Linked DNA regions of Diceros bicornis minor. The protein of the gene in region 2 binds, or shares a complex with, the protein of the main gene of each other region. Links are inferred from orthologs where the notes say so. Each region holds a gene or a part of one and is shown on either strand. Other genes may lie near its edges.

Evidence for each region.
Region 1: POLR3E (region 2) and POLR3K share a complex: the UniProt entries of both Homo sapiens proteins name them as parts of the RNA polymerase III complex. The link is inferred for Diceros bicornis minor from reciprocal best matches to the Homo sapiens genes POLR3E and POLR3K.
Region 3: POLR3E (region 2) and POLR3D share a complex: the UniProt entries of both Homo sapiens proteins name them as parts of the RNA polymerase III complex. The link is inferred for Diceros bicornis minor from reciprocal best matches to the Homo sapiens genes POLR3E and POLR3D.
Region 4: POLR3E (region 2) and POLR3F share a complex: the UniProt entries of both Homo sapiens proteins name them as parts of the RNA polymerase III complex. The link is inferred for Diceros bicornis minor from reciprocal best matches to the Homo sapiens genes POLR3E and POLR3F.

Annotation. Positions count from the first base shown.
Region 1 is NC_080765.1:48,215,268-48,223,215, reverse strand, and holds the start of POLR3K (DNA-directed RNA polymerase III subunit RPC10), read right to left. Parts: upstream 3,012-7,948; 5' UTR 2,997-3,011; coding exon 2,886-2,996; intron 1,700-2,885; coding exon 1,612-1,699; intron 303-1,611; coding exon 175-302; 3' UTR 1-174. Other genes in the region: SNRNP25 (U11/U12 small nuclear ribonucleoprotein 25 kDa protein), read left to right, coding at 3,362-3,403, 4,218-4,308, 4,544-4,649, 5,171-5,245, 5,721-5,778; RHBDF1 (inactive rhomboid protein 1), read right to left, coding at 6,890-7,309, 7,488-7,641, 7,766-7,866, 7,938-7,948. UniProt on the Homo sapiens protein: Core component of RNA polymerase III (Pol III) which synthesizes small non-coding RNAs using the four ribonucleoside triphosphates as substrates. Can mediate Pol I proofreading of the nascent RNA transcript.
Region 2 is NC_080765.1:31,057,312-31,064,170, forward strand, and holds the start of POLR3E (DNA-directed RNA polymerase III subunit RPC5), read left to right. Parts: upstream 1-3,839; 5' UTR 3,840-4,573; coding exon 4,574-4,643; intron 4,644-6,859. UniProt on the Homo sapiens protein: DNA-dependent RNA polymerase catalyzes the transcription of DNA into RNA using the four ribonucleoside triphosphates as substrates.
Region 3 is NC_080750.1:71,627,146-71,634,614, forward strand, and holds the start of POLR3D (DNA-directed RNA polymerase III subunit RPC4), read right to left. Parts: upstream 3,022-7,469; 5' UTR 2,933-3,021; intron 2,710-2,932; 5' UTR 2,705-2,709; coding exon 2,540-2,704; intron 1,547-2,539; coding exon 1,503-1,546; intron 881-1,502; coding exon 729-880; intron 574-728; coding exon 449-573; intron 1-448. UniProt on the Homo sapiens protein: DNA-dependent RNA polymerase catalyzes the transcription of DNA into RNA using the four ribonucleoside triphosphates as substrates.
Region 4 is NC_080758.1:45,144,227-45,151,104, reverse strand, and holds the start of POLR3F (DNA-directed RNA polymerase III subunit RPC6), read right to left. Parts: upstream 3,022-6,878; 5' UTR 2,746-3,021; coding exon 2,684-2,745; intron 1,615-2,683; coding exon 1,497-1,614; intron 1-1,496. Other genes in the region: DZANK1 (double zinc ribbon and ankyrin repeat-containing protein 1), read left to right, coding at 4,855-4,963. UniProt on the Homo sapiens protein: DNA-dependent RNA polymerase catalyzes the transcription of DNA into RNA using the four ribonucleoside triphosphates as substrates.

The DNA.
Region 1 (7,948 bases), about 17 Mb from region 2:
ATTTCCTGCCTGGCAGACGGGCTGCATCTCCTGACATCCTGGCCAGCCATCCTGAAAGGGGTAGCTTTCCCCCACACCAGCAAAGACCCTCAGGACACGCAGTTCACACTCTTGGATAGGAATCCACCCTGCAACAGGGTAAGCAGACACTGATGCAGCTGGACCAGTTTGGCCCTAGTCCCTCCAGCGGTGTCCACACTGAGCATTGCAGCACTTGTAGAAGGTGGTCATTGGCTCGTCTGCAGAGCGGGTCTGAAGCTGCATGAAATAGGCACGAGGATGCTCACATTTGGGACATGGCTCTGGCAACGAGAAAAGCAAACAATTGACCCACATTAAAAAAAAAAAAAAAGGATGCTTGTGACCAACAGATCTATTAGAAGCAGGTGTTACTTGAAAGGGGGCAAAGACCCCGCCCCCTTGCTCATCTGGCATCCCTTGCCCAGGATACCTTGTACCAAAATTTAAGGCCACAAACAGTGGTATCCTTCTCACTATGCTCTCACACTGAGAGAATAGAGGAGAACTGTGACCTTGAAAACACTCCTCCTACCCTCCCTGGGGCCCACTTTTCTTCTCAAATCTGATTGAAGACTGGTTAGAAACATAACACGAAAGGTGACTTATGGCGCGATATGCATTACAGTATCCATGCCCTGCAGATGCCCCTAATAAGTGCATCTCCTTCACCTGGGCAATGCACACGCCCTCTTGTCTTCTCAGAGGAGCTCCCGACAGATGACCAATCCGCTTCCCCTTGTATTTAGGAATCCATTCTGGCAGGAGTTTCTCAGACTGTTCTTATCAAGATCCCTCCACACATCCACACCTTTTCAGAGTGCCCCAAGGCACACCTTTACTTTCAAAGTGATTTCACTTTGAGAACCTGACCCTGCTCTTGAGGTAAACAACTTCAAACAGTCTCAAACAACATTTTCAATATTAGGTACATAATTCATCTTTTAATGACAAATTCTGCCAAACCTAAATTTTTAACATAGCAGATTTGGATATTCTTCTATGAGGGAAAAAGACAGCATTAATCACGAGTTAGCTCTTCTCCTCTCAGTACAAGTTGTATCTAGGGCTCTCCTCTTCCTTCCTTGGTCACATCTGTCTCTAACAGAAACGAATCAAGACTTGAGATAAACACTTATTTTACTGAGACTGCAGTTTAACGTTCCCTGGTATTAACTCTTTAAAAATCTATGCTAGAACAAAAAAACCAAATTTCTTCCTTAGACTCTGATTTTTACTACTCCTGTCATTGTTGCTATCATCATAGTTACCACCTGTTGAGTACCCGTTATATGCCAAACACTGTATTAACTCACTTTATGCTCTTATAATCTGTGAGTATAGATTAGCCCCAGAGAAGTCAAGGGACACCCATCGAGGTCACCCCAAGGCTCTAACTCAGGCCTGCATGACTCAAGGCTTGTGCCAAGACTGTGTGTGTAACCAATAAATTATTAAAAAAGAAAACAAACACACTTTTTATTTTTAGAAGCCCACTTCATCTAAGTATATCACGGATCCTGACGTGGAGTGGCACAGTCAGCAGCCTCATATTTAAAAAAAGCTCAGTAACAGAAAAATTTTCCCTCTCACCTGCAGTAGAGTCGACATTCTCCCAGGCAGCTGCTCCACCAAGCACATCATCCACTTCCTTCAGCTTCGGGTACTTCCGACTTGTTACCTAACAAACAGCCTCTGAGTGAGTGAACAGCACAAACCTGGGACACCAAACTATATCGACCTCAAGTGTCTCCCCACACTTCCTTCCTTCAGCACAGACTGGAGCGATACTGAACGAAAACAAAGTTCCTGCTATCACAGAGCAGGACGCTCCACTGGAATTTAGAGGATCCACGATTGGGATGATCCCAAGAGAAGAGACAGTCAGAGAAGATCTCTGCCAGGGCTGGATGAAGCACCAGAGCAGGAAGAAAACATTGGCTTAGGTGTGACCCTCCTCCTCCCCCACACCTCTAAGATACTTGATAACCCCAGATGAGAGAGACAAATACAACTGAAGTCAAAGAGCACCACTTGGCCGGGTGGCCCAGCGCCCCCCGAGGCAGAGAGCTTTCAGAGCAGGTCACACTTGGCTTCTTGCCCAAGTTTTCCCCGACATCCTTGAAATTTCAGGGTTACATAAGAGTTCACTCTTGCCATATTTTCAAACTCTAAACTTCCACCTCGCAGCTGACCCATGGAGTGGTATGCAAACATTAAGAATGAGGTATCACCAACGTGCTCTACTTCTAAAAAGGTGTACTGTCAAGTGAAAATAACAAGCATAAATAATACACTGTGCTTCATTCGTCCTGAACATTCTAGGTCCCATTCTATTGTTCAGACTAAAACATGAGGAAACGAGACAGAAAAATCCTGCCTTCCTACCGTTTATGTCCCAGTATTAATAAACAACGCCCATAAATATAAACTATATTACAACGCAATGACGCCTATGGCAAAAACAAAACAGGGAAGGAGGATAAAATACGGAGAGAGATTGCAATTTTAAGTAATCATTTAACTAAAGACACGGGGAAGGGTGAACGGGGCAGAAAACACGCGCAAAGGCCCTGACGGCGGTGCCCGTGCACGAGGGGGATCCTCCGTGCGGCGCTGGGGGTCAAGAGGACGCATTAGGACGCGAAATCAGAGGAGCAGGCTGGGGGTCCCGGGAGAACCTCAGCTTTCCCCCCGGCGCGCTGGGCACCCGCCGCGGGTCTCGGAGCACAGGACGGCCCTGATCCGACTCACGGTCACAAGGTCACTGCGGCCGTTGCCGCGGACACAGCGCGGGGAGCCCGGGGGAGGTCCCGACGGTACCCCGGGGCGAGCAGGGAGGACGCAGGGGACGCCGGCGGGCGCACCTTGCGGGTGACGTTGTGCACGTAGGGGCAGGTATTGCAGGCGAAGCGGTGACAGCGCTGCCCCTCCTCCACGATCAGCCCGTTCCCGCAACCCGGGCAGAAGAGCAGCATGGCGGCTGCCCAGCCGCCGGCTCCCAGCAGACGCCCGCGCCGCGCCCCGCCGACGCAGGCCCGCCTCGAGCTCTCATTGGTCCTGGCGGCCGCCCCGCCCCTCGGCCCGCCAATGGACGCGCCGATTTCGCGCTCCCAGCGAGCACTGCGGCAGGCCGCCTGGTCCCTGGACGCTGCGGGCTGGGCTGTGGTTGCGGTCCCCGCGCGCGCCCCTCCGTCGCGCTGACCCGCGGTGCGGGCGGGTGCGGCGGCGGCGGGGCGCCCTGGAGGAGGAGGTGGCGGCGGCGGGGCCGGAGGAAGATGAGGACGAAGAGGAGGCGCTGCCGCACTCCGAGGCGGTGGACGTGTTCCAGGAGGGTCTTGCCATGGTGGTGCAGGACCCGCTGCTCTGCGACCTCCCGATCCAGGTGCGCGCGGGCCGGGGGGCGGGCGGCGGGGCGTGGACAGCCCCCCGACGTGCCGCTGGGGCTGCGGCGCGGAGGCCTCAGGAAGGCGCCTCTGGGCGTCAGCGGGGGGTCTTAACCCGGGCCGGGCCCAGGGTGGGGCGAGCGAGAATTCAGAGGGGCGCCAAAAACCCGGTATACATGGGGTCAGGTGACGGGATGTTTTACTACGACATTTTTAAAACTCAAAGGTAGTGTAGGAAAGCCGATGGTAAACAAAGTAATAAAATTGTAAATGAAAACCAGACCAGTATTACTGGTTTCTCTTCTCAAGTTTCAATATGGTTTGGCACCGTCCTGCGTTTAAGTCTTTGTCACTTTGCCCATCATGGGGTTTTTAAGTTAACTTCTATTTCCTTGAAAGTTGCACTGAAATGTTTATCGTTACCATGTTTTTGGCGCCCCGGTAAATTCTGCACACCTGCCTCAGCCTTGTCCCGAGGCCCTGGCCTGGATCCTGGCGATCCAGGGCTCTCATACTGGACTGTCCAGCCTCTGGGTAGAGGATCCCGGGGTGGATCCTCACGTTGGTTCGTTCCCCTGGTCTGTGTCTATGCTGCGTCCTCCCGAGCCTCTGTCCACTTTAGGCATTAAACAGAAAGTGTGGATGGAACATGAGAGTGGAGTGACAAGTGGGGAAACGTGTAAGAACCTTGTCCCTTTCTTGTATTTGTAAAGCGTGGCCCCACTTTTTGGACACTGTCAGCTTGTTTTTCTTGGTTGTTGTTCGGGGCGGTAGAGAGCCAGGGCTCCCCCATCCACCCTTGGTCTTTTCCAGGTTACTCTGGAAGAGGTCAGTTCCCAGATAGCACTGGAGTACGGCCAAGCAATGACAGTCCGAGTGTGCAAGATGGACGGAGAAGTCATGCGTAAGTGCCGCCCCCTCCCTCCGGGCAGCGCCGTCTGAGCTTCACAGGGGCAAGAGGTTAGCAGGGCTGCTCAGTGGGAAACGCAAGGGCCATGCCCGGGGGGTGTTGGAGCAGCCGCAAGCCCACCCTGCCCGGATTTCAGCCTTAGTCGGGCCTCTGAGTCCTCTCCTGTCATCTGAGGCTGTAGCTGTGTTCCCACTGTGGATCTTTTCCCGTTTGTGTCCCCCGGTTGCAGCCGTGGTTGTCGTACAGAACGCCACGGTGCTGGATCTGAAGAAGGCCATCCAGAGATACGTGCAGCTCAGGCAGGAGCGTGAAGGAGGCATTCAGCACATCAGCTGGTGAGTGGAGCAGCGGGTCCCTGCAGCCCTCCTGGGGGCTGATGTGGGCCTCCACATGCACACCTGCCGGATGTGCGCTCTTAACCACCTGGCTCTACTACAGTGTACCAACTGGAGCGATGGGCTCCCCCCGAGCCGTTGGGCGGGTGGGTGCTCCTGGGCCTGGGAGTCCTGCCTCAGATGCTCCTCATCCATATCACACTGCACAGGCAGCTGGGTGGGTCTTCACTTGGGGACACCTGGGGCGTTTCCAGTGTGTTTGGAAGTGGTCTCCCTAGCTGTGGATGGTGCAGCTGTCAGCAGCCCCACCCCTCCTCACCTGGGTGCTGTCAGTCCTCCCGTTTCATTAGCAGAATGTTTGGCTGCCAGGCACCCCACACAGCGTTTTGAGAGCAGTGCCCCCTTGTGGCTGCCCTGGTCCCTACAGAGCCGAGCGCCTGGAGGCTTTCTCACACACAGCTTTGGCCTCCCAGCTGTCCAGCTCACCCTGCTCACGGCTTACCTGAGTCCCCATCTTGCAGGTCCTACGTGTGGAGGACGTACCATCTGATCTCTGCAGGAGAGAAGCTCACAGAGGACAGGAAGAAGCTCCGAGAGTGAGTTCAGGCCACATCCTGAGCTGCAGGGAGGCATCTGGACTGTTGCCTGTAGTTCCACATGCTCGGCCAGAAGCCTGGGCCCCTCAGGAAGGAGGGATCATAAATCAGTCCCTGGGGAGTGTGTGAGACAAGGAGAGTCCCTGGCTGGACTGACACCCTCCTGCAGGGAGCTTCCGGGGCCTCCCTGCCAGCAGAAGGAGAGGGAGAGCAGGGGTGAGGGGCCTCGGCTTCTCACAGTGGCGGTTCAGGGCTGCAGAGCCAGCAGGAGGGAGATAAGGGTGTCCATGGAGTTGAAAGGCTGCCCGCTGGTACAGTGTGGGTCTGTGGAAGGACAGCCACTACCACCTCCTTGCCTTCCTGGATGCCACATGCTTCCCACCTCTTCTTTCTTGGTCCCTCACAGGCTTCAGGGGAGGGGTCACAAACGTCCCCTCTGTGGATCAGACAGCTGACAGCTTTTCTTCTCTTTCAGTTATGGTATCCGGAATCGGGATGAGGTGTCCTTCATCAAAAAGCTGAGGCAAAAGTGAACCTCCAGACAAGGACGACTCTGTGTGCTGGTGGCTGAGCTCTTCCCCAGCAGGAAGAAGTCTGGAGCCACTGTCCCTTTCTCACAGAAGAGTGTCGAAGTGGCCTCACCCCAGCTGCCCAACTGGAACTGTCAGCATGAACCCTGGGCTCTCGGGACTAGGACCGGGTGAGCCAGTGCTCATGGCCTGAGCTTGACCTCCCTGGGCCGAAACACCCTGACCACGTGGCCAATCCCACAGGGCTGTGGGCCTGGCCCTGTGTACAGAATAAATCTGTTTGTTTCTTAGTTTAAAAAGTCCAAAAGCCACAGTACCTGGGGCAGGAGGAACTGGCACTGCCCCATCACAGAGGGGAGCCAGGGCGGAGAACGGTGGTGGCGAGGCCCGAGCTCTCAGATGCCACACCCCACACCACACGACCCTGCTCCTGCATTGGGACAGCAAGAGGAAGTAGCAGAGTGGGGGCTTTCTGACGCTGCTTGTGGGGAAACAGGCCCGCGGCCAAGAGCACAGCTGTGGAGGGCCCCCCCCCGCCCGGCCTCGTGCAGGGCTCACCTGCAGCAGGGCTGTCACTGGCTCCTGGAAAGGGAGGCAGCCTGGGACTGCAGTGGGAGCTGCTGGCCGGGCAGGGAGGGTTGGGGTGGGGGCACTTCTCGGTGTGTGGGGAAATTGCATCCACGGGGCCCTGTCCCATTGTCGCCTGCCAGTTACTTTGAGGAAGCGGCACAAGGGGGGTTCCCCTGGCTGAGGGACTTTATGGGGAGGTGTATTTGACACTTAGTGCCCTGTTCTGGGGAACTGTGAGTGGGATCTCCCTCCATAACCCCCAGCCGGAAACTAGAAAGGAGGAGGCAGCTCTTGGTCACGTTAGTGGCAGCTAAAACGCTCCCGGTCCATTTATTGGCCACATGGGGTGGTCGTCAAGAGACTAGTTAGCAGGTAACCAGGGGAAGTAGTGTAATAAATGCCCAGAAGTGCGCGAGGTTCAACAGCAGTGACCAAGGCACAGAGAGCTGTGTCCAGGAACAGGCCCCCACGATGCGCAGGCGGAGGCCCACGACCTGTGAGGCTCCAGCCTGCTGGAGCACGTGGCCCCAGTGCCCCAGCCAGCTCAGTGGAGCTGAGCGTCCAGCTCGTACTTCTCACAGAACTTGTCAGTGAAGGGGATGCAGGTGAGGAACTCACACCACTCGCAGCGGACGGGGTAGAAATAGAAGAGGACCACCAGGCCAGCCAGGAGGCCCAGGAAAACCAGCTGGAAGACGATGATCTGGCAGCGCTTGCGGTACAGGTCAAACCTGCCGAAGCTGATGTAGGGCAGGAAGGCAAAGGAGAGGAAGAGGCCACTGACGAAGCCGGAGATGTGTGCAAAGTTGTCGATCCAGGGCAGCAGCCCGAAGGCGAAGAGGAAGAGCACCACGGCCAACAGCTTGAAGAAGGCGCGCCAGGGCCGGGCCAGGATCTGCCAGCTCTGGAAGAGCTCCACGAAGAGGCAGGCCAGGATGCCGAACTGCGAGCCGGCTGGGCCCACCTGGGGGCAGTGGGCATCTGTGAGCTGGTGGGGCTGAGCAGGCCCCTTCAGACCCAGAACCTTGTCCCCGTCCCAGTTCTCGTGGCCCAGAGACATCAGGACTGAGGAGCCCAATGGAGAGGCTCCTAGGCTGGGCAGTAGGTGCATACGGGGCTCCCCACCCTGGGGGCAGCTTTACCTCTGCCCGGTACGGCAGGAAGATGGCACTGGCCAGGTTACCGGTGACGCCACTCAGCAGGTAGATGATGGCTATGCGATGCCAGCCTGCCAGTTTCTCCAGGTCCCGCAGGACAGTCATCTGGAAGCAGACGGACACCAGGCAGTGCAGGATTCTGTTGGGGGAGTGCGCACTCAGCAGGGAAGGCCGCCCCTCCACCACCCCCGGCTAGCCACTCTTGGGGTCCCTGAAACCGTCCACTCCACCCATCCCTGCTCGGCCCACAAGGTGTCACTTGCCCAGCGTGCAGGAAGAGGGACAGCCACAGGCGGTAGAACTGGTCGGGCACCTCGGGGTTAAGGAAGGGCAGGAGCCCGCACACGTCATCCATGCAGTGCACCTGTGCAGAGTGGCCTGTCAGTGCCCGCCACAGCTGCGGGAGAGCGGGAGGGACACACCCTGGAGGCCTACCTGAGAGCAGA
Region 2 (6,859 bases):
TATATTGAAGACACACACACAAATTCATGTATAGATGTGAAAGTATAAGAGATAGATTGGAAGGATACACATCAAATGCATGATAACAGTTATAGCCAGGGAGGATGTTTGGGAAGGGGGATTTATTTTCATTTGTAATGGTTTAATTATTTTTAAATGGATTTTTAAAAGGACAACATATTCATACCATTACCTGTGTAACTTTTAACAAAACGTATATACGTTAAGAAAAGGATTTGAAGTGAAATGACACAATATTAGGTGGTGGGAATATGGATGATTATTTTTTCTTTGTTTTTCAGTATTTTTAAATATCCATATACATCAACATGGATAGATATTTAAAATATATAGTCGGGTAAAAAATAGTCAATTGCAGATCAATACTAAGCATGATAATATTTATGTAAAAACCCACACCAATAAAAACAAAACCTCTATTTTCTATGGATGCATATACCCATGCCAATATATCCATATAAATTCACAGCAAAAGATCCAGAAGGATATATACCAAGCTGATGATAATGGTTACTTCTATTGAGGGAACTTAGGATGGGGGTCAAAGGTAGAAGAGCATTTGTGCGTTGTCTGCAAAGTTTTAATATTTTGCAAAATTTCACGTATTATTTGTGTAACTAAAAATTAAAACATAGTTTTTCAGAAAAACTGCCGAGACCAGCTCCCCTGGTTTGTCCTTGGGATCCCCTGGTGCGGGTTACTTCCAGAATCCATCATTTCTGGGAAGATACATAACCCCCAGTACAGTGGGTTAACCTGAGGTCTCCGAGGTAAACACCCGACTCAGAATACAGACTCTTCAACTGCTCTTCGCTTTAAAACCTATTTGGAACAAGCCTGGGTCTAAATATTGGAGCAAACATTTTTTAAAAAATACATGGCATGTTCTAAATAGTTCTATCAAGATCAAATAAAACATATTAAACAAAGAAACTCCAGGAAAAAAATGCACTGCAAGCGCATGTAATGCCATTAAATAGACGCCTGGAAGACTGCTTCGTCAGCTAGGTAGCGTGGCCGAGCGGTCTAAGGCGCTGGATTAAGGCTCCAGTCTCTTCGGGGGCGTGGGTTCGAATCCCACCGCTGCCAGTGCTAGCTTCTTTTGTCGCTGTTGCCTTGGCACCCGGCTGTTCTCGGCTCTGTTTTGCCGGTGCATGGGCGCCCCCTGCCGGGCCGGGCTGGCGGGCCCCATGAATGGAGCGGCGGAGGGGGCGGACCGCGAGAGCCGGGGCGGCGCATTGTGGGTAAAAGGAAGCGCGAGGGCCGGCGCGGCTCCCCCCACGTGTCCGCCGGAGTTTCTCCAGCAGCAACATGGCCGCTGCCTGAGAGGAGAGCCGGGCCGCCGCCGCCTCTGCAGCCCGCGGGTACCTGGGCCGTTGCCGCCGCCCGCGCGCGCGGGCCCCGCGGAGAGGTGAGTGCCGAGTTGACAGCCCCCGCCCGGGCTTGAGCCGGGCCGCACTCACGAGGTGGGCCCGGGCTGGGCTGCCGAGTAGGCCGGGAGGCCCGCGCCGCGCCGTGCCCAGGGACTGGGGGCCTCCGGGGCCGGGCGGGAAGGATGGGCAGCCTGCCCCAGTAGACCCCGGCCGGCCGCGGGCTCCGACCTGGGCCCGGCCCGGGAGTCGTGGGGGCCGCAGCGGAGGCTGCCGGCGGTCGTGACTCAGGGTCCAGCCGCCGTGCCCCGCCCGGCCCAGATGGGCCTCCTGCAGGAGCACCTGTCCCAAGGCAGCCGGCGTCCAGCTGGCGTGGAGACTTGTGGCGATGGCTGCGTGGTGGGCGTGAGAAGGGGGCCTGCCCACCCGCGAGGGAGGCGAAACCCATTGGACAATGTGGCTCGGGGCCGGCGGCCCGCCCTGATGGGCAGGTGGAGGGTACCCGAGCCTGCCTGGGCCCCCTCCTCGCCGCTGAACCAGATCAGCCTCCGCCCGGCCGGGCCCGGGATTCCTGATTCATTTAATGAAGTCACCATTCAGTGATCATTGGGAGCCAACACTGCCGCGGATACGACCCTAACCATTTGGTCGGAGGAGGGGTCAGTAAGCACGTCAAGTAAAGCAGTCAATAAACAAGGTCGTTCTGTTATGTTAGCTTTAGAATCGTTGGTCTTGGGGGCAGGAAGAGGAGATCTTAGCAGACGCCACGGTTTCTTCATCTGTGAAATGGGGATAGTAGAATTTCCTACCTCATAGGGTTGTGGTGAGGGCTAAATCGGCTAAGACAGGAGAAGCTCCAGCTTGCAGCATTTGATTTCTGGCTAAATCTCATACCCTCTTAGAGTAAAAGAAAATATGTTGCCAAGTAATAACAAATCCTCCCACAGGTTACATTTATCATCGTGGTTAATCCTCACCACAGTCCTCTGGGGGTCGATACTTTTATTATCCCCTTTTTAGGGATGAAAACAGTGAAGGATAACCAGCATCAGACAGTTCCGAGTGGGCCACAGATGGTGGGTAGCAGACAGGGGATTTGAACCTTTGCAGTTCTGCTCTGGAGTCCAGGCTTTTACCCACTATACCATACTGCCTTTTATTAGGAACATGTGCAGCATAGTGGTTAAGAATGAGAATAAGGATCTTTGACGGCTAGACTGGAGAATCTGGCTTGCCATTCTCTAGCACTGTGACCTTGGGCAAGCTACTTACTCTTTGAACTTTAGTTTCCTCGTTTCTTAATTAGGGATGATAAATCTTGATTTATAGGGCTATTGAGAAGATTTAATGAGAATGTATGTGAAATCCATAGAGAAGGATCTGACACTCACTTAAGGGTTAATTAGTTCTTCTTGTCCCCTAGGCCAAGTCTTCCTTTAACAGATGTGGAAACTGAGGTGACCCAGCGAGGGGAAATGCCTTGTCCAAGGGGTACACAGCCAATTAGAAGCCAGGCCTTGAGACCATTTGCCCTGGGGACTTCTCCCCTTAACTCCGTTGTATTTTGTCCTCTCAGACCTCCCTCACTCCCTCCAACAGCTGGAGATCCGTTTGGAGTTGCCTCTGCTTTTCTGATTGACTGACAGGTTAGATTCCTGGGGGCAGCATGGATGCACCCAACTGTGGCATCCCCTGCTCTGGACCCCTCCTTAGCTCCACCTGGTGTCCTTGTCTCCTTTCCATTTGTTGAGCAGCTCCCTGTTGAGGGAAGTTTCCTGTGCCTAGGGCCATGGAGCCGCTGCCACAGAGTAGCCTTGTGGCCACAGGACCCCTGTTGAGGCCAAGGTGGTCATTGCTATCAGAAGAGCTTGGCTCATGGTGGCTGGGAGGCCTGCTCTGGCCTGCGCCACAGCCCCTGTCTGTTCTTAAGTGTCCATGTGGCCCAAACTATGAGGCCCCCGGTCTCTGGATGGGGCTGAGTTAGGCTCACTGTGTTGAGGTTCTGTGACCTCCTGATTTTAGACACTCATTCACTCAGTTATTCTTTGCACTATATTGAGTGTCTGCTTCATGCCAGGCACTGTTCTAGGTATGGGAACATAGTGTGAGTTTGAAAAAAAAAGAGATGATAATCCCCATAACAACTTGATGAAGTAAGAGTAGTTATCTCCACTTTATAGTGAGGAAACTGAAGCACCGAGAGACGCTCACAGAGCTTATTTCTAGTGCAGAAGATAGACCACACATAAGCAAACAGACTAGATAGTTTCAGATTGTGATAAGAACCACGAAGGAAATAAAATCAGGAGATGTGGTAGTGATTGGGAAGGGGTTGTGAGTGGGCGGGGGCTCTTTAAGATGGGGTGATCAAGGAATCTGTCTCCTCCTGGAGGGGGTGGTGGTGATAGCTAATGAAAAGGAGCCAGCCTTGAAAAGACCTGGGGAAAATAGATGTTGTGCAAAGGTCCTGAGGCAGGCTGGGGCTTCGCCTGTTGGAGGCCCAGCAAGTGGCCACCTGGCCAAGTGGATGGTGAGGTAAAGCGGGGCAAGATCATGTAGGGCCTTGGGGCCATGGAAGGGAGTTTGGATTTTATTGTATATGACAGTTGAAAGGTTTTGAGCAGGGGCATGATGTGATTTACTTTTTTACAAGAACAACTCTTGGCTGTTTCTGAAAGGATTGGAGGTGGGAGAGGGGCTGCAGAGAGACTTGTGGTGCAGTACCTTTCAAATTGCAGTTTGAGATTTATTAGTGGGATGTGAAATCAGCTTGGGATTGTAACCAGCATTTTTAATTTTAACGAGCAAGAGTAGAAAACGTCGCTGCATCACATGTAGTAGAGACAGTCATGGCTGTGTGAAACCTTGTTTTAGTTACATAATTGTTGTATGTTCTGGGTTGCTTATGTGAAATGGACTTCTTGCTGTGGGTCTTAGGCTGAAAACTTTGGAAGCCACTGAGTTGGCTGATATTGGGTGGGAGGATGAAGCGAGGTGTTAACCCCTGCCTTAACCCAATCAGATGTACTATCCAGAGGGAGGGGCTCCAGCTCAAGGTACCTCATCCTCCCTGAGCGCCTCCGTGACTGGGAGAGGCCAGCAGAGCACAAGAGCCGGAATGCCTGTCTCTGGGAGAATAGTTGCATCTTGGGAACCTCCCAGGCCGCACCCTCTTAGTACATATGATCTGTTCCCTGGCTCACCTGGAAGGCCCCAGTCTCTCAGTTGTGCACAGAGCCAGCCGTAGAGAAGGTAGGTGCTTGACGTACATCTGTGGTCTTGGCAGGCAGTGCAGAAGGGGTGGGGTCTTGGGCTCTCCCATCCGTCACCTTCTGTCTGGGGCTTAGAAGCCACCTAAAACTGTCCATTTGGGGCTTCTAATTTCACCCAGTCTTCCATCTCCTTACTGTCGCTGTGGCCTGCTTCCCTCTAGTCTGTCTTTTTATCCCCTCCAGATTTTCCTCTACTCAGAATCCTTTGGTAGCTCCCTATTAAATAGCATTCCTGTGATTCATATTTTCAGACAACAAATATGTGGTGAGTGCCTGCTGTGTGCTAGGCACTGGGGGTACAGCAAGGGACCAAATAGATGCTAATCTCTGCCTTCCTGTAGGCACTTCCAACTTAGTGGCAGTGGGGCTGGGGACAGATAATAAACACAGAGCTATAAACGGTCACATGGTGATAGGTGCTATGGAGAAAGCCAGAGCAGGGAAGGGAGTTGGTGGGGCGGGGTGCAGTTTTGAGTTAGTTGGACAGGGAAGGTCTTAGCCATGAGGTGACATTTGAGCAAAAACCGGGAAGAGATGGGCCGGCCCCGTGGCTTAGCGGTTAAGTGCGCGCACACTCTGCTGCTGGTGGCCGGGGTTCGGATCCCGGGCGCGTACCAATGCACCGCTTCTCCGGCCATGCTGAGGCCGCATCCCACATACAGCAACTAGAAGGATGTGCAGCTGTGACATACAAGTATGTACTAGGGCTTTGGGGGGAAAAATAAATAAATAAATAAAATTATTAAAAAAAAAACAAAAAAAAACCAGAAAGAGGAGGAGGGATCCTGAGGTGACCGGAGGGTAGACCAGTTACAGAGGCCCAGAGGTGGGGTGGGAGGGGGGAGGAGAGAAGAGGGAAGGAGGCCCGTGGGAGATGAGGTCTGAGAGGTAAAGGGGCTGGGGTGGGGGTGGGTCGTAAAGACTTTGGCTTTTATTCAGAGTGTGATGGGAGGGAGGCCTTTGAAGATGGAGGAGTGACGTGATCTGAGGTGGCTTTCCAAAGGATCACTGGCTGTGGGGTTGAGCCAAGATCGTAGGGGGCAAGGGTGGAAGCAGGGAGACCAGTTAGGAGGCTGTTGCTGTAATGCAGGTAAGATATGGAGCTGGCTGGTCTGGGGCGGTGGTGGTGAGGGGGCCAGATTCCAGACATCCTCTGAAGAGAGAACTGACGGGATTTGCTGGTGTGGGATGAGAGGAGGAGAAGCATCAAGGATGAGGCCAGCATTTCAGCCTGAGCAGTGTGAGTTTGGAACGTGTATCTGGAGTAAGTGAGGTGATTTCAGGTGGTGGTGCACGGGCAGGGGGCTTAGATGACATTGAATGCCACCCATGGTGAAGGAATATTTAAATATTAAATAGCTCAAATGTTAAGTAGATAAGATAAAAGTCATGATGGTCTTACTCGAAAGTAGAGGTCTGGGGACTGCTGAGATATTAGGGTGCCCAGGCGCCTTTCTAAGGAAGGGTCAGCCCAGCTGAATTAGTTCCCCTCCGCCATGGAGACCTGCAGCCTTCCCTCCTCCAGGTACTTGAGTGCTTCCTGTCACCTGAAATCCCTCCTCCCCTCTGCTCTCGTGGCTTGTCCTAACCCTTCAAGGCCCAGCCCAAACGCCCCGCCTGACCCCTTCCCTTCCCTCTTCTGAACTCCCCTACCTGTACCTGCTGCCTGAAGTCGGATGGCCTGGCTTTGAAGTCCAGCGGGTCCTCTTACTTGCTGTGTGGCTTTGGGTAGGACACGTAAAGTGCCTGCGAGTTCCAGTCTCCTCATTATAAAGTGGGGACAATCAAGCCACTCACAGGGTTGTGTGGGACACATTAGAGAAAAGTATGTAAAGAGGGTCATTTTCAGACACACACACACACGTGCGCATACACGTGCACACACGCACACACACACGCACGCACACACACACGCACACACGTGCACACACGCACACACACACACAGAGGAGAAGCATCTCACTCTGGGTTGGGCTTCAGGTCAGCTTGAAAATCAAATACCAGAGACAGAGACAGCCTGGAAAGCCGTGGGACCATCTGCTCGTCCTCTTGGACGCGGGAGTCTTTAAAGCTTCCCCATGGCCCCCAGTTAGTTCTCAAGCGTTTTCATTGTGGCTGTGGACCCGCCAGCCTCCTTCCTGCCTGGCGGTGAATTCTTCTTTGTGAGTGGTCAGAAAACACTTAAAACCAGTCATT
Region 3 (7,469 bases), on a different chromosome or scaffold from region 2:
AGGGGTCACACAGCCTGGCCAGCATGCACATGTACCTGGATTGCAGTCCACCTTAGCCCTTTTTTTGTGCGTGAGGAAGATCAGCCCTGAGCTGACATCTAATGCCAATCCTCCTCTTTTTGCCGAGGAAGATTGGCCCTGGGCTAACATCCGTGCCCATCTTCCTCTACTTTATATGTGACGCTGCCACAGCATGGCTTGACAAGCGGTGCATCGGTGTGCACCTGGGATCCGAACCTGTGAACCCTAGGGCTGCCAAAGCAAAGCGCACGCACTTAACTGCTGCACACCGGGCTGGCCCGCATCTTAGCCCTTTCTAACCGAAGCTTCCTGCTGCTTACCAGGCTTCCAGGACATCAGAGAGCTCTTCCTCCTGCGACCCTGGCTCCCTGAAGCCCTTTTTCACAGCCACAAAGAAGCCCCCTCCCCCCAGCCTGCTGGTACCTACATCATCCTTCTCCAGCATGCGCAAGATCTGTTTTGTTTCTTCATCCGTCTCCCTCTTCTCTTTTTTGATGTTGATGATATGAGAGGGCCCCATGTCCGACACATCCACTGTCTTATCCCAGTTCCCTGTGGGAGATCACCCAGTTCACCAGGGGTAAGGAAGAGGCCAACAGCAAGGAAAACTAAACTGGGAGCAGGGGAATTCTGCCCTTGCCCTTTTCTTGGACAGTCTGAACTGAAATCCACCATTCCTTCCTCCCAGAGCCCTGGCAGCTTTGTACCCTTTTTCTTCATCATTTCAGCTGGGCCCTGCTCAAAGATAGAGTGGGACTGGATCACTTCTGGGCGCCCCCGGCCCCGGCCATGCCCCTCTCGCTGTCGGTCTCTCTCTCTTTCACGCTTCTCCTTCTTGATGGTTACTTCTTCCTTGGGCCTGGAAAAGAGAATGGATTAAGAAAAACCACTCAGTTACCCTGCCTCAGAGAAGTGGTTTTACTCTCCCACACCACTGCACTTGAGTGGAGAGTTTATGCCCCAATAACTACATCATGAGAAGCAGAATCCAATCCTAAATCTAGCACCTGTTTCACTTCCTTGATGGGGCAGATCTCTTTCAGTTTGCTTTACTTTACCTTCTTGTTTGAGAATACATATTAGAACTATAACTCAAAAGTTGAATTATAGAGACTGTCCCCAAATGCGGATTTTTTGGTATTGACTGAAAGCAGGAAGGCTGTGATGCAAAAGAACTTAAGGGAAAACATGATACACCTTTGTCTAAACTAGTGGTTCTCAACTCTGGCTGTAAAAGATATTCACTTTGTCTCATTGCAACTAAGTTAAATCACAATTTATAGGGATGGACTCCCAGGCATCAGTATTTTTGTAAAGCTTGCACATTAGAATTATCTGGTAGCCTAGGTTGAAAATCACTAGTGATAAGAACTAAATACACAAATTTAAATTTCTGAGGCACATACCTAGTTATTTCCCCAAAGGCCCAAATTCAGAGCAAGTAAATAAAGGGTGAGTATTCAGAAGACCTGGCTACTTACTCCTCCTTGATCTTCCGACTGATGATATTCGGGGTGAAGGTTTTCTGAAAGTAAAATACAGGAATCACTGATTTGGTAAGTTCTGATTTCAAAGTATAGAGGAAAAGAAAAACTCCCAAAGGCATCTTCTATGGACCAAGACCACCATGGCTCTCTTCTGCACATTCCACACCGTTGCCAAAGATTTACAGAGATAGACATGTGCTTGAAAAGGAGGAACGTCATGTCATGGTGGCAATGGAGTTACACACAGAAGCAAGGGGCACCAAAACCCATTTAAACTAACAGCCTCAGCTTCTGTCCTCTGAAAGGAGAGCCCTCAGGACTTCTAAAAGCAAAGTAACTTATCTAGTCTCACCTCCTGTTTTCAAACTGCTATAGAGACCAGTCAGTATCATAGGCAAAGATCTCTAGCAGCAAGGCTCAAGTAGGGAAGACAGATCTGCCAGCACCCGCAGACAGGGTTAGACTGCCACCAGAATTCCCCAAGGCAGAGTTAAGCCTTTCAAAACTGGCTGAGCTACACTTCTGTCATTCCCTACCCCCTTTCAGGGCCACCCTTTACATCTACAGTCGTCAACATAACAGGAGAAGACACAGAGCCTCTAATGCCACGCCTAGGAATCACCATACTCTAGGACAGCGGTTGGCACACTGGGATCCATAGCGAATTCAGAACTCTCTAAATCTGCAGGCAAAATGTATTATGCCACCGAGGCTTACATAGGTTTTAATGGTGTCCAAAACACACACAAAAAGTAAATAAAGACTGCTCATGTTGCTTTTAAACTAATTAGGATTCTCTGCCCTTCAGCCATCTCCGAGAACCATGTCAACATCTTGTACCCAGTATCTAAACTTAAAGGTAGGTCAGGCTCCCAGAATTTGTAGGCGGCATCTGGCGACGAGATTCGTGGGGCCCAACACCACGCCTGGCACGCGGTAGGCCCTCCATGAAAGTCCATGAACATTATTTGGACCCCGGGGGCCTGGAACTCAAGGTAGTCGGGTTTCTTTTGAAAGGTGCCGTCGGGTACCTTTTTGACTCCCCCGAGGGTGAGGTCCCTGGAGCGGATGGAGGGAAGGCGGCCCGGGCTGAGGGGAGGCGCCGGCCGCCGCCCGATAAGCCCCCGGGCCCCCGAGAGGAGGGGTCGCGGCCCTCCCGGAGCGCTGGGCTCGCCCGCGGCGTTTCCTTCTGACATCTTGCCTGGAAGAGAGGGGGGAAAGGGGCCATGGAGTCACTCGAGGGGGCGGCCACGCGGACCCAGGGCGGAACCGCACCCACATCGCCTCCCGCCCCCCGTCAGTGCGTCCCTCCCGCAGCGTCCCTGCTCCTCCCCTCCCACGTGGCGAGACTCCTCGGACCTCCCCGGCCAGAGCGCTTGGCTCGCTCTCCCCAGGCCCCCGGCCAGAAAGCAGCAGGGACGCACCCGGGCTGCGGTCCGCACCACGCGCGCCCAGACTTCACCTCCAACGCGGCCCGCAGCCGGACCTCGGCCCCGGCGCCAGGCGGAAGTCTGCGTGGCAGGGTCCGAGCGCCGCCATCTTGCCGCCGGGCGGAAGTGAGGTCGGGGGGCGGGGCCGGGCCACAGTATTTATCCGGCGGCGCCGCGCGCCCCTCTGCCTTCTCTTCCCGGTTCTTCCCGGAGTCGGGAAAAGCTGGGTTGAGAGGGCGAAAAAAGAAGCGGGCGCTGTCTAGGTTCCGCCACGGTGCAGACCCCGGAGGGCTTGGCCCGGGCCCGGGGCCGGGGATGGAGGCGACCAGCTCAGAGTCTAGCGGCGTTTGCCCCCACCCCTCCGACGCAATGCGGGGATTCTCTGCGGCGGAGCCGCAGATCAGTGGGGTCGCGGCTCCGCGTGGGGCGAGAAGTGGGGGCGGAGAGCAAGACCCGACTCAGAGTAGGGGGAACTGGGCCGGGCCGAGCCGCGGCTGCGGGCTCGATGGTGACCTTGGAGTGGTCACCGCAGCTCTGGGCGGCGGCTTCGCCCTCGCTGGGGGTCTCTTCCCTGGGCCCTTGGGGGCGTCCTGCGGTCGGCTGTGGGCGCAGCGTCGGGTGCCCAGTGATACCCGCCCTGGGCTCATGACTGCAGGCCTTGGTGCGCTCTTGGTCCAAGCTTGGAACCAGAAAAACGAAGTTTGCTTTACTGCGAGAGGAATTTAAAGAACTTTTATCGTGACTCTGACATTTGTAATTTAACATAAAGAATGTTCTTTACTGTTAGTCTCCCCACCCTCCAAGCCATGTGAAAACCACGTTAACAACATGAGGGAAAGTTCGAGGGAAGGAAAACATTTCCGCTACAATTCCATCCACATAGAATACTACTGTTAAAACTTGTGTGATATACTGCAGTCCCCTTCACAGAGCTATCATATTGTACCGCAATTTTGAATTCCGTCCTTTCAAATAACATTTCTTTGTCGCTGCATCAAACGAGTGCGTAGTGCTCGAGTGGCTACGTCATGACACTTAGATTGTTTCTTTCCAGTTGTAGTGAACATCTGGTGCATTTAACGTTTTTTCTTCTTTTGGGTTATATTTCTAGGACAGATTTCCAGATTTGTGATAACTGGACAAAAGAAGACATACTTTTTTTTTAAGTAAATTTTTTATTTTGATATTATTATGGATACACACACAGTTGGGAGAAATAATGCAGAGATCCCAAATACCCTTTACTCAGTTTCTCCCAATAGTAACATATTGCAAAACTCTAGTGCAATATCACAGCCAGAATATTAACATTGATACAGTCAAAAAGCAAGACATTTCCATCACTACAAGGATCCCTCTAGATGACCTTTTACAGCCACACCTCCCTCTCACTCACCCCTGGCAACCACTAATCTGTTCTTCATTTTTATACTTTCCTATTTCAAAAGTGGAAATCATTCAAAAGTGGAATCATACAGTATACGACTTCTTGGGATTGCTTTTTTCAGTCAGCATAATTCCCTGGAGATGATCCAAGTTGTTGCGTGTATCCATAGTTTGTTCCTTTTATTGCTGAATATCCGTGGTTTGTTTATCAGTTCACCCTTGAAGGACGTCTGGGTTGTTTTCAGTTTGGGGCTGTTACTAATGAAGCCGCTATAAACATACATATACAGGTTTTTGTGTAAACATAAATTTTCATTTCTCTGGAATAAATGCCCGCAAGTGCAATTGTTGGGTCAAATGGTGGTTGTATGCTTAGTTTTATAAGAAACTGCCAAACTGTTTTCCACAGTAGCTGTACTGTTCTGAACATGCACTTTTATGGTTCTTCATCCATATTGCTGAGTTGCTTTCAGAAAGAGATGTGCTAACATGCATCAACACTAATAGATATGAATGGTTGTAGTAGATAAGAAGATATATGTGTGTGTATAATATTTTGCCACTTCCTTCTGGGTACTGGCTCTTAAAATTTTAAACGTTTTTGCCAATTTAATAATATATTAATATTTTGTTATGTTGGTTTCTGATCAGACTTTTTTCAACTTCTTTTCTCCATATTGGTTTTATGATAACCAAACCTAACCAAAGAAAAATCCTTCCTGTCCCCTATAGAGCTACACAGAGCAGCCCTTGGATCAAAGATGAAATTGCTTTGATTTCATTCTCTGGGCTTTGAAGTCCACCAGCCTTTTAGCAGCTCCTAGGTTTTCGCTTTGTTTTTTTTTTTTTTTACAAGATACTTATCCATTACAGAAAACCTGGAAAATTTTAAAAATCACCCAGAAGAAAATAAAATCATCTGTTATTATCCCATCAACTGTTGCATATACTTGAAGTTGTTTTTCTATGCATGTAGATTTTTGAAAATTAACGTATTTTACATATGGTTATATAATCTTGTTTTCTCTTAACACTATACTGTAAACATTTTTCTGAGTTATCAAGTATGCTTCTCAATTATGACTGTTAATGGCTATACAGTACTCCACATTGTTGTCTTGCACCATAATTTATTTAACCAGTTTCCTTCCCTCAATGCTTATTGGATTTCCACAGCATTTTTTACCCCAAAAGGACAAGAGAAGAGAAGACTTAAATGAAGTCTTCCACCTTTAACATTTTGGGGCTTACTTCCTAACGATTATTATAATTTCCCTTTAAGAGTATTCTCCAGCTTTGCCTCTAACTAGGCTGATATACTTTCAGCACCTTTCTGCTTTCTTTCTTTCTTTGCTCCTGTACCTCCCACTTCATTTTCTCCCGAAGAGTGGTCATTCTTTTATCTAGCCTCAAAAGAAACTTGTAAATCATTACTAGCTGAACTCCATGTAATCACATCTGTGATTCTAGCAGATCTTAATTTGTTATTAATAACGTTTTATTGCATTTTATTTTTACATATTTCATAGTAAAGACAATAGTTTCTTTATTTTCTGATAACATAATGAAACTAATAATCAAACTCTTAAGAACAAATATAGTTTTTGGGTCTAAATGCAGTTTGCAGAAGGTATAAACAGATTCTGTCAAAAGCCTGTTCCTGTGAATTCTTAATGGGCATTGGAAATACTAAATGAATAAGGAACCGTTTTGTAATATGTATCAGTAGAATAAATGGAATGTGTTATATGAGAATGCTACCTAAGTTCAAGCTATTACATGTTCTCTACGAGTAATTTGTCCTAATTTTTTTTGCATTGCTTTGCAGATCATTTGTTTGCTGGTTCCTCTTCATCTCCTTGACCTCTGAACATTGCAGAGCTCTGGGATTCAGTCTTCAGAACTCTTCCCTTTTTCCAGTTTCTTTGTTTCAAACCATGTGCTGTATGCTGATGACGACTCAATGCTTATCTCAGTCTGGACCTCTCTGAACTCCAGATGTGTACCTCTGCCTATCCCACACTTCCACTTGGATGTCTGCTAGGCGTCTCAAAGCTAGGTCTACACCTAAACTTTTGATCTTCCTCCTCAAACTACTCCAAAGTATTCCCCATCTCAGTAAACAGCAACGCCATCTCTCTAGGTGCTCAGGTCAAAATTTTGCAGCTGTTCTTGGCTCCTCTCTTTTTCTCATGGGATACATCTAATATGTCAGCTCTTCCAGATGTATCCAGACTCTCACCACTTCTCACCACCACTCTCACTCACATCCCACCTTGGTCCAGGCCACCATCATTTTTTGCTGTGAATATTATAATACCCTCCTAACTGGCCTGCCTGCTTCCACCTGGGCCCGCTCAGTCTAGTCTCAACATAGCATAATTAACATATTTCACATCAGGTCATGTCTCTGCTTTAAACTTCCCAGGGGCTTCTCATTTCAGAGTAAAAGCCAGAGGCTTCAGACTGGCCTACACAGACCTGCATAATCTGTCCCTCCACTCACTGACTCTCCGTCCTCGACTCCTACCATGTTCCCTTCACTCACTCTGCTCCAGCTGCACGGGTCCCCTTGCTGTTTCTGGAACAATCTGGCATGCTCCTGCTTGAGGGCCTCTGCACTTGCTACCTGGAATACTCTTCCTCCACGTAATTTTCATGGCTCTCTCCCTCCCTTCAGTCAACTTTTCTATCCTTTGAGTTGTATTTACATATGTCTTCTCCATAGGTTCTTCTGTATGCAGCTCTCTTAATAGAGTAAGGGTGGCAAATACTGAGTGAGTGGAGGGAAGCCTTTCTAGCATGGCAGCAGTTTGTGGATTCACTATGTCTCCGTCTTATCCCCAGGATCTTGCCATGCAGTGCCCCGTGGTATTCCATAGGCCCTACATAATGCTGTTACACTGCAGGTATGACTTAGTGACTGTTCCAGTACCAGGGATCCATCGCGTTAGTCCCATGTCTCATTTCACTTGTGATTCTCTCTTCATTTCTCAATTTTCTTCCCTTAAAGTTTCTTTTGCCCCTCCAACATTTCATTAGTGTGTCTCTTATAGTTTTTCAGAGTCCTTAAATATAACTCAGCATTTTTCCATGTCTCTTAATTTTAACAATTTTAATTGTTGTTTTTTTTAATAATTTTATG
Region 4 (6,878 bases), on a different chromosome or scaffold from region 2:
AAAGTGACTTGCTCAGATCTGTATTTAAGACAGGATGGCTGCTCTGAGGCAGACGGAGCCAGGAAAGTCAGTTAGGATGCACTGTAATAGGCCAGGTAAAAGCCAAGAGTCTGAATACATGCAAGGGCAACAGGAATCGAAATGGGGGGGTGGGGACAAATTTGACAATTGTTTAAGAGCTAAAATCAGCAACACTTTGTGATTTATTAACAATTACTTCTTGCTTAAAATTCTTCAACAGCTCCACCACTTCCTACAGCCAACAGGACTGGCAGAAGGCGGGGCTGCAGAGGTGGTGAAAGAGGGAGGTGCCGAGGATCATTTTGACAGAAAGGAAAGGGCTGAAAGGGCGGTCCGAAGACAAAAAACATCTTCCATTGCTACATCCTTCCAGTATCCCTCCCTCTACCCTTCCTGGAGCTGAAGACCTTCACCACAGTGAACTGACTAGAAATCACCAACATTCCTTTTTCCCTTGGGCTAAAACACAGGTCGGCAACCTAGCCCCCTGTGTTTTTGTAAATCAGGTTTTACTGGAAAACAGCCATGCCCATGTGTTTACGTGTGGTCCACAGCTACTTCTTGCCAAGTTGAGTAGTTGTGACAGAAACCATATGGTCGGTAAACCCGAAAAAATGTACTATCTGGCACTTTATAGAAAAAGTTTGCCAACCTCTGTGCTAGAAGCTTAAAGGGAGTGGTTTAACAGAAGGTTCACCTGTCCTCAAATCTCCATATCAGAGCCCTTAGAAATCCAACAAAGCTTAAAAAGCAAATCAGTCTTCAGATGAGTCCTTGGTCCTTTACCTAATCGCTACTACAACCAGACTGAAATGCTCTCAGAATGTGGGGATTTTGATGATGAGGGAAAGGAAAGAGAAATAGGTAGATCTAGCGCACGGAGTACCAATAGGTGGTATGTGTTTGGACAGTTGAAGGAGAATGACATTAGGGCCCCAGGAGAGCAGAAGAGGTAAGAGCAGGTAGAGGGCGTCACTGAAAAACCCCAATGCAGTGTCACTGGGAGCTGAGCCCACCTCCTCCCAGAGGCCCAGCACTGTTGACATTCAACCAGACTCATTCTTGCCTCCTGAAATGCTCAGAGTGAGAATGTGGAGAGTAATATCCTAATGAACTGGCTCTGTGATGACTGTCAGAAAAATCAGGAGGGTAATATTTCATGGGGAATGGCCCAACACTAGCAGTAGGAAGCAAACAAGGTAAGAACAGACTATGCTTATGTGTCCTTATGTTTCTTAATGACAGATTAATAAATACATCAGTTAAAGCAAAATACATTTATTTCATTCATCTTGTAAAACGATGTGTAATTATTTCTTCTTTCCTCAGTTTAGGCAATCTGAGCTGTTTCCCAGTTTGCAGTCTTATCAAAGTCACAACCTAACACACTTTTGAATGGTTTCATGACTATATAATAGAAGTAATGACAATCATAACATATAAATAATTACGTGAACTAGTTGGATTCACCTTACCATGGACAACAGTCTATTGATGGCCACTGCCCGTTGCTGGGCTTCTATGTGAGGCATTTCATTCTGAATTACTTGGTCTGTGATTCCGTGAGGGAACTGCTGACATAATTCTATAATTCTAAGAACAAAGGCATTAATGATATTATTCATGTTTTCACCTATTTCAAGAGGCAGTGGGAGAAAAATACAAGCAAAACAGTTTGAAATTGTGCCTTTTCTTCACATTTGGCAGATAATCTGGGTTTCTATGATGGTTCTGAATCAAAGCATATTAGAAATTGAGGAAGATGCTTTCAAAATACACATTTACATTATTATTGTTATTTAAGGAAACTATTTCTTTTCCTCACCCATAGGAACTTCAAATTAGAACAAAGTCAAATGAAAACAGAAAAAAATATTAAAACCGAGGCTTCAATTTTCTCAGAAGGAGCAAGTATGACAAAGTTAAGACACAGTGCCTTGGATAACCGTAAGTCTGTAAGCAGGAGGCGAATCAGACACTTCTGATGGGAAGCCCAAGATTTGTTACGACAATTCATCACAGTTGGGGCCTGTTTTCGGAATTATCCCTACCAAACAAAAATAAGCCCGAATCTTCACCTTGTCATAAGATCATCATATGTCTTATTCCTAACAGTTTGAGAAAGTTGGGGTCTTCTAAAACTATGTAGTAACGTAAAAATTGCAGTACACGGATAGAGCATATAAAATTGGGAGAGCCTTTAGGTGCCCTAAAATCTTGACTTAAATACTGCATCGAAACCATTTGGCTTATGATGCTTCGTAATCGCAAACTGCACCCTAACTTTGCTCAAACGTTCTGTCGTGGGAGTTCCCTTAGCTACAAGACCGATCCTGGATCAGAACACGTATCCACAGGTACTACAGAAAAAACGCCAAGTCCTCTCTGAGCGTCCATCACCTTAATGTAGGAAGGAAGTGCATCACCACAACTTTTCGAACAGCCTCGGGGCAAGGTCAGCTACACAAGGTTGCAAACCGTCAAATCCGTTTCGAACTTCTTAAGAGTTCTGCTCTCTGAGGGTGGAGGTGGGCGGCAAATCCCGCACTCCCTCTCCTGCGCGCTCACGGAACTTGCTCTGGTATCTACCCAGGCTCCCAAGAGAATGGGTCCGGCTGCGGGGGCTCCCGAGCCGGGAACCGAGCCTCACTCAGTGGTTTACCTGTTTTCTATTTCCACCGGATCCGCGTCGGGCGGCTGCACCTTCACCTTCACCTCAGCCATGAGGGCGCAGTTCCCGGTCCCTGGGGGAGGAGAGGCAGGGAGCGGTCGGAGAGCCAGCGGGAGAACCCGGGAACCAGCGAAGACAGCACCCGGCCCGGGCAACGGGCCTTCTTCCTCGTGTCGCAGCCGGTCCTTCCTTGTCTGTCGGCTTGAGGTGGCCAAGCCGCGCCTGCTTCGCCTCCCTTGCCCGCGCCGCTAACATCTTTTTCTTGTTTTCCACAATGTCAGTGCTTTTCAGATGAACGAGCATGGCTTTCCCATTCTGAGTTGGGACTCCACCTCTAAGCACTCTCCAGCCTCTGTGAAGGCATATTCCCGGATGCCTACGGTGAAGCCTTAGGAAAGGAGCCCTGGCCAAGCGGCAGGGGCGGAGCTGGTTGCTAGGAAGCGGGTTTCCACCAATCACCTGCCCCGCAGTGGGCGGGGCGCGGCTCGCAGCGTCTGTGGTAACCCGGACTGCGATGCAGGAAAAGGCCAGAGGCGGTGAGAGGTGCGTTCCCTACCTGCGGGCGCCGGAGGTACCCCGGGGGTCCCTATCCGGGTTCTGGTGGCCGGCGGAGGAAGAGGAGGAGGGCCTCCTTTAGTCCAGCCGAAAGGGAACGGGCGTCCCTAGCTGCCCCTGGTGGGCGGGGACGGGAACGACACGGGGTTCCGGATCCCGGCGGTGAGGGGTAGTCTGGATGGAGGGAGTTGAGACGTGGGCGGTGCTGTTGATCCCACTCTGTCGTTTGGGCGTAGCCGATCCGCCTACTTCTTGATCCCCGTCGCTTGGGGCCACTGACCGCAGAAGCCTCCGAAGGGCAGCTCCTAGTGGCCGCGCGAATTATTTATTCCTCAACTATTTTTAGTTTGAACTAATTTTTCAACTATTTTTATTTTAACTGCCTCTCACTTAAATGGAAGAATGAGGAAGGGCACCCCTTGAGCCCAGCCCCCGTTCTGTAGGAGCTATTACTCTACTATCAGTATCTGCAGTTGAAATTCTTGGCCTCCTGTCTGAAACTATTCAACCAGGCATTAAGTTCACTCCTTAAATTTAGTTATCCTACTTTTGGGAATACAGTCTGTGACAAAGTTCAAATCCCAAGATGTTCAGAGCAGCATTATTTAGAATTGCAACAGCCAAAACTAAAAAGAAACTAGTAATAGCCTAAGTCCCCAACCACAAATTGATAAGTAAATACGTGGAAAATTATAAATGATAGAGTGAGGTGCAAGAAGTACACTAAGAAAAGTTGAATGAATATTTAGAGTACAACTGAGTAAAACCTACACATCCATAATCATTGAAATTTGAAAAGGCCATACAGAGATGTAAATGGTTGCTGTATTAAGGTGAGGGTCGCTTTTTTCCCCCTGAATCCTTTATGTATTAAAAATTATGACCTCACCCCCCCCCCCCCCCGCCCCCTATCCCCAGGAGAAAGATCAATAAGGCCTCCATACCCGTACTTAATTATTTATAAATACAAAAATGGAGTGAGAGACTTTTGTGTTTGTTGCTCACTGTTTATATCGACGCCAACTTGCTGTCAGCTGAGGCATAATACTCGGCCATCCCTCTAGAGTTTCTTTGCAGCTTTGAAATGCAAGAACCACTTGGCCACAGCTGCAGGGCCTTGAACTTGGAGCTTTCCCAAAGGAGTTGGCTCTAAATTAACGTTTAATGCTACATACAGAGTTACTTCTGTTCCTCTTGTGTGATGACTTGCCCTGAAGCCAAGAGAGGTGGCACACTAATAAGAGGCAGGAAAGGGTGATAATGATCCAGAGGGAGCTCAGATCACATCGTTAGTGATGGTCTCTGTTCTGACACATTCATTTAATTTCCCATTTAAGATAATTCCGTTTCCCCATCCCGTTTATTCGTACTCTTTTCCCAGAAGTGAGGCAAGTATTTAGAGAATCAAAACCCCACACAAGACCTGAAACAATTATTTCAATTAAAAATTGAATAATATTTGTAGGTGGTGTATTAACAGTATTCTTTTTAGTTTTTGCTAGTTTTACTGTATTTAAATGAGGTGCTTCTCTTCAGCTTTTGTGTTCAAATATAGGTGCCCATTGGAATTTATTTTCATCCACTTTTTTTTAATGTAAGGAGGGAAAATGACTGCTGGTTCAGTGTGTGTCCCTCAGATCATACCACTGCGAGTGCCTCAGCCTGGAAAAGCCAACCATGAAATTGATAACAATACACTTTTGGAAATGAAATCGGGTAAGAATCAAATGTACTTGAAATCCTTTAAAATAATTTTACTGTACTCTTTATGTTCATCTGGTTGTTGATTTACCTCTTTGCGTGCTTTCTATGGTCAGGACCTTAGGAAGTTTGTAAAACTTCCAAAACTTGAAACAGTGTTGTACCTGGTGGTTGATAGAATGGTGTGTATTTAGATTACAGAGGTTAGCTTTGACCAGTGTTTCATTTGTATAGGTATATAGTTGCAGCAGTGCCTTGACTCACGTTAGCCAAGGTAAGATGTCCCCGTGCTTCCCCAAACTTTCCCAGGATTCTTCTTATTTTGCTGGGATAGTAAATTTGACTTAGAAACAAAGGCTTTCCAGTCAGACAGGTTGAGATTGAATCCTGGCTTTGAGAACTTCTAGTGACCTTCAATACTTAGCCTTTCTGAGTCTCAGTTTCCTCATTGTTAGACAGTAATAATAATATCTACCATTTAGAACCATTGTAAGGATTGAATGAGTTGATATTTTATGTGAGATGCACAGGGTCTGGCACATAGTAATGCCAAAACAAATCTTAACTATTATTACAGAAATAAAGCAGTGACTGTATTTCCTGGTAATGCTGGAATATATATATATGTATACACATTCATATATATATATATCTACATACGTATGTATACAAAAACATATAATTTTTTTTTAAATTTTATTTATTTATTTTTTTTTCCCTGAAGCCCCAGTAGATAGTTGTACGTCATAGTTGCACATCCTTCTAGTTGCTGTATGTGGGACGTGGCCTCAGCACGGCCGGAGAAGCGGTGCGTCGGTGCGCGCCCGGGATCCGAACCCGGGCCGCCGGCAGCGGAGTGTGTGCACTTAACCGCTAAGCCATGGGGCCGGCCCAAAAAAAACATATAATTAACATAAGGAGAAGGGAAAGTTTTATAGATAAAACATATGAACAAATACTTGTTTAAAAACCTTTGAGATTCCAATTAAATATTTCAATAACTGATATGTGTAAAAACTATTTATCTATATTTATGGTGGTGTCTGTACTTCCTAGACTGAGAGTTCCAACTAAGAATATGTTACGTTATGCTATATTTCCCTTTATCTTAAAAGCTAATATTTTTAAAAATTTTCAAGCCAAAATACTAATTTTAATAAATGTGGCCATAACTCTTAGAAGAAATTGGGTGATTATTGACAAATGATGATATAAATGATATGGTATCCAAATTCTCTAATATTTAAATTGTTTAGTAAATAAAGAGGTTCTACAATTCAATAACAAAAAGAGTAATAACCCAATAGAAAAATGGCAAAGGATGTGAAAGGCCATTTTATAGGAGAGGAAATATGAATGTTTTTTAAACATATGAGAATGTGCTTCTACCCACCCCTGTACGTGCTTCCTGAGCAGACCTTCTCTCCCACTTTATTTACTCCATTGCATTCAATCACCACTTGACAGAATGTATATACTTATTTGTTTGTATACTGTTTGTGTGTTCTTCCTAAAACGGAGGCTACGTGAGAGCAGGGACTTTGGTCACTGGAATATTCCCAGTGCCTAGAACAATGTCTGGCACATAATAGGTATTCAGTAAATATTTGTTGAGTGATTGAATGACTCTTACTCAAAATGCAAGAAATATGAGTTAAAACTACAAGACATTGTTTTTTTGTGTGTGTGTGTGTGAGGAGATCAGCCCTGTGCTAACATCCGCCAATCCTCCTCTTTTTTGCTGAGGAAGACGGCCCTGGGCTAACATCTGTGCCCATCTTCCTCCACTTTATATGGGACGCCGCCACAGCATGGCTTGCCAAGCAGTGTGTCGGTGTGCGCCCGGGATCCGAACCAGCGAACCCCGGGCCGCCGCAGCGGAGCGCGCGCACTTAACCGCTTGCGCCACTGGGCCGACCCCTGTTTTTTT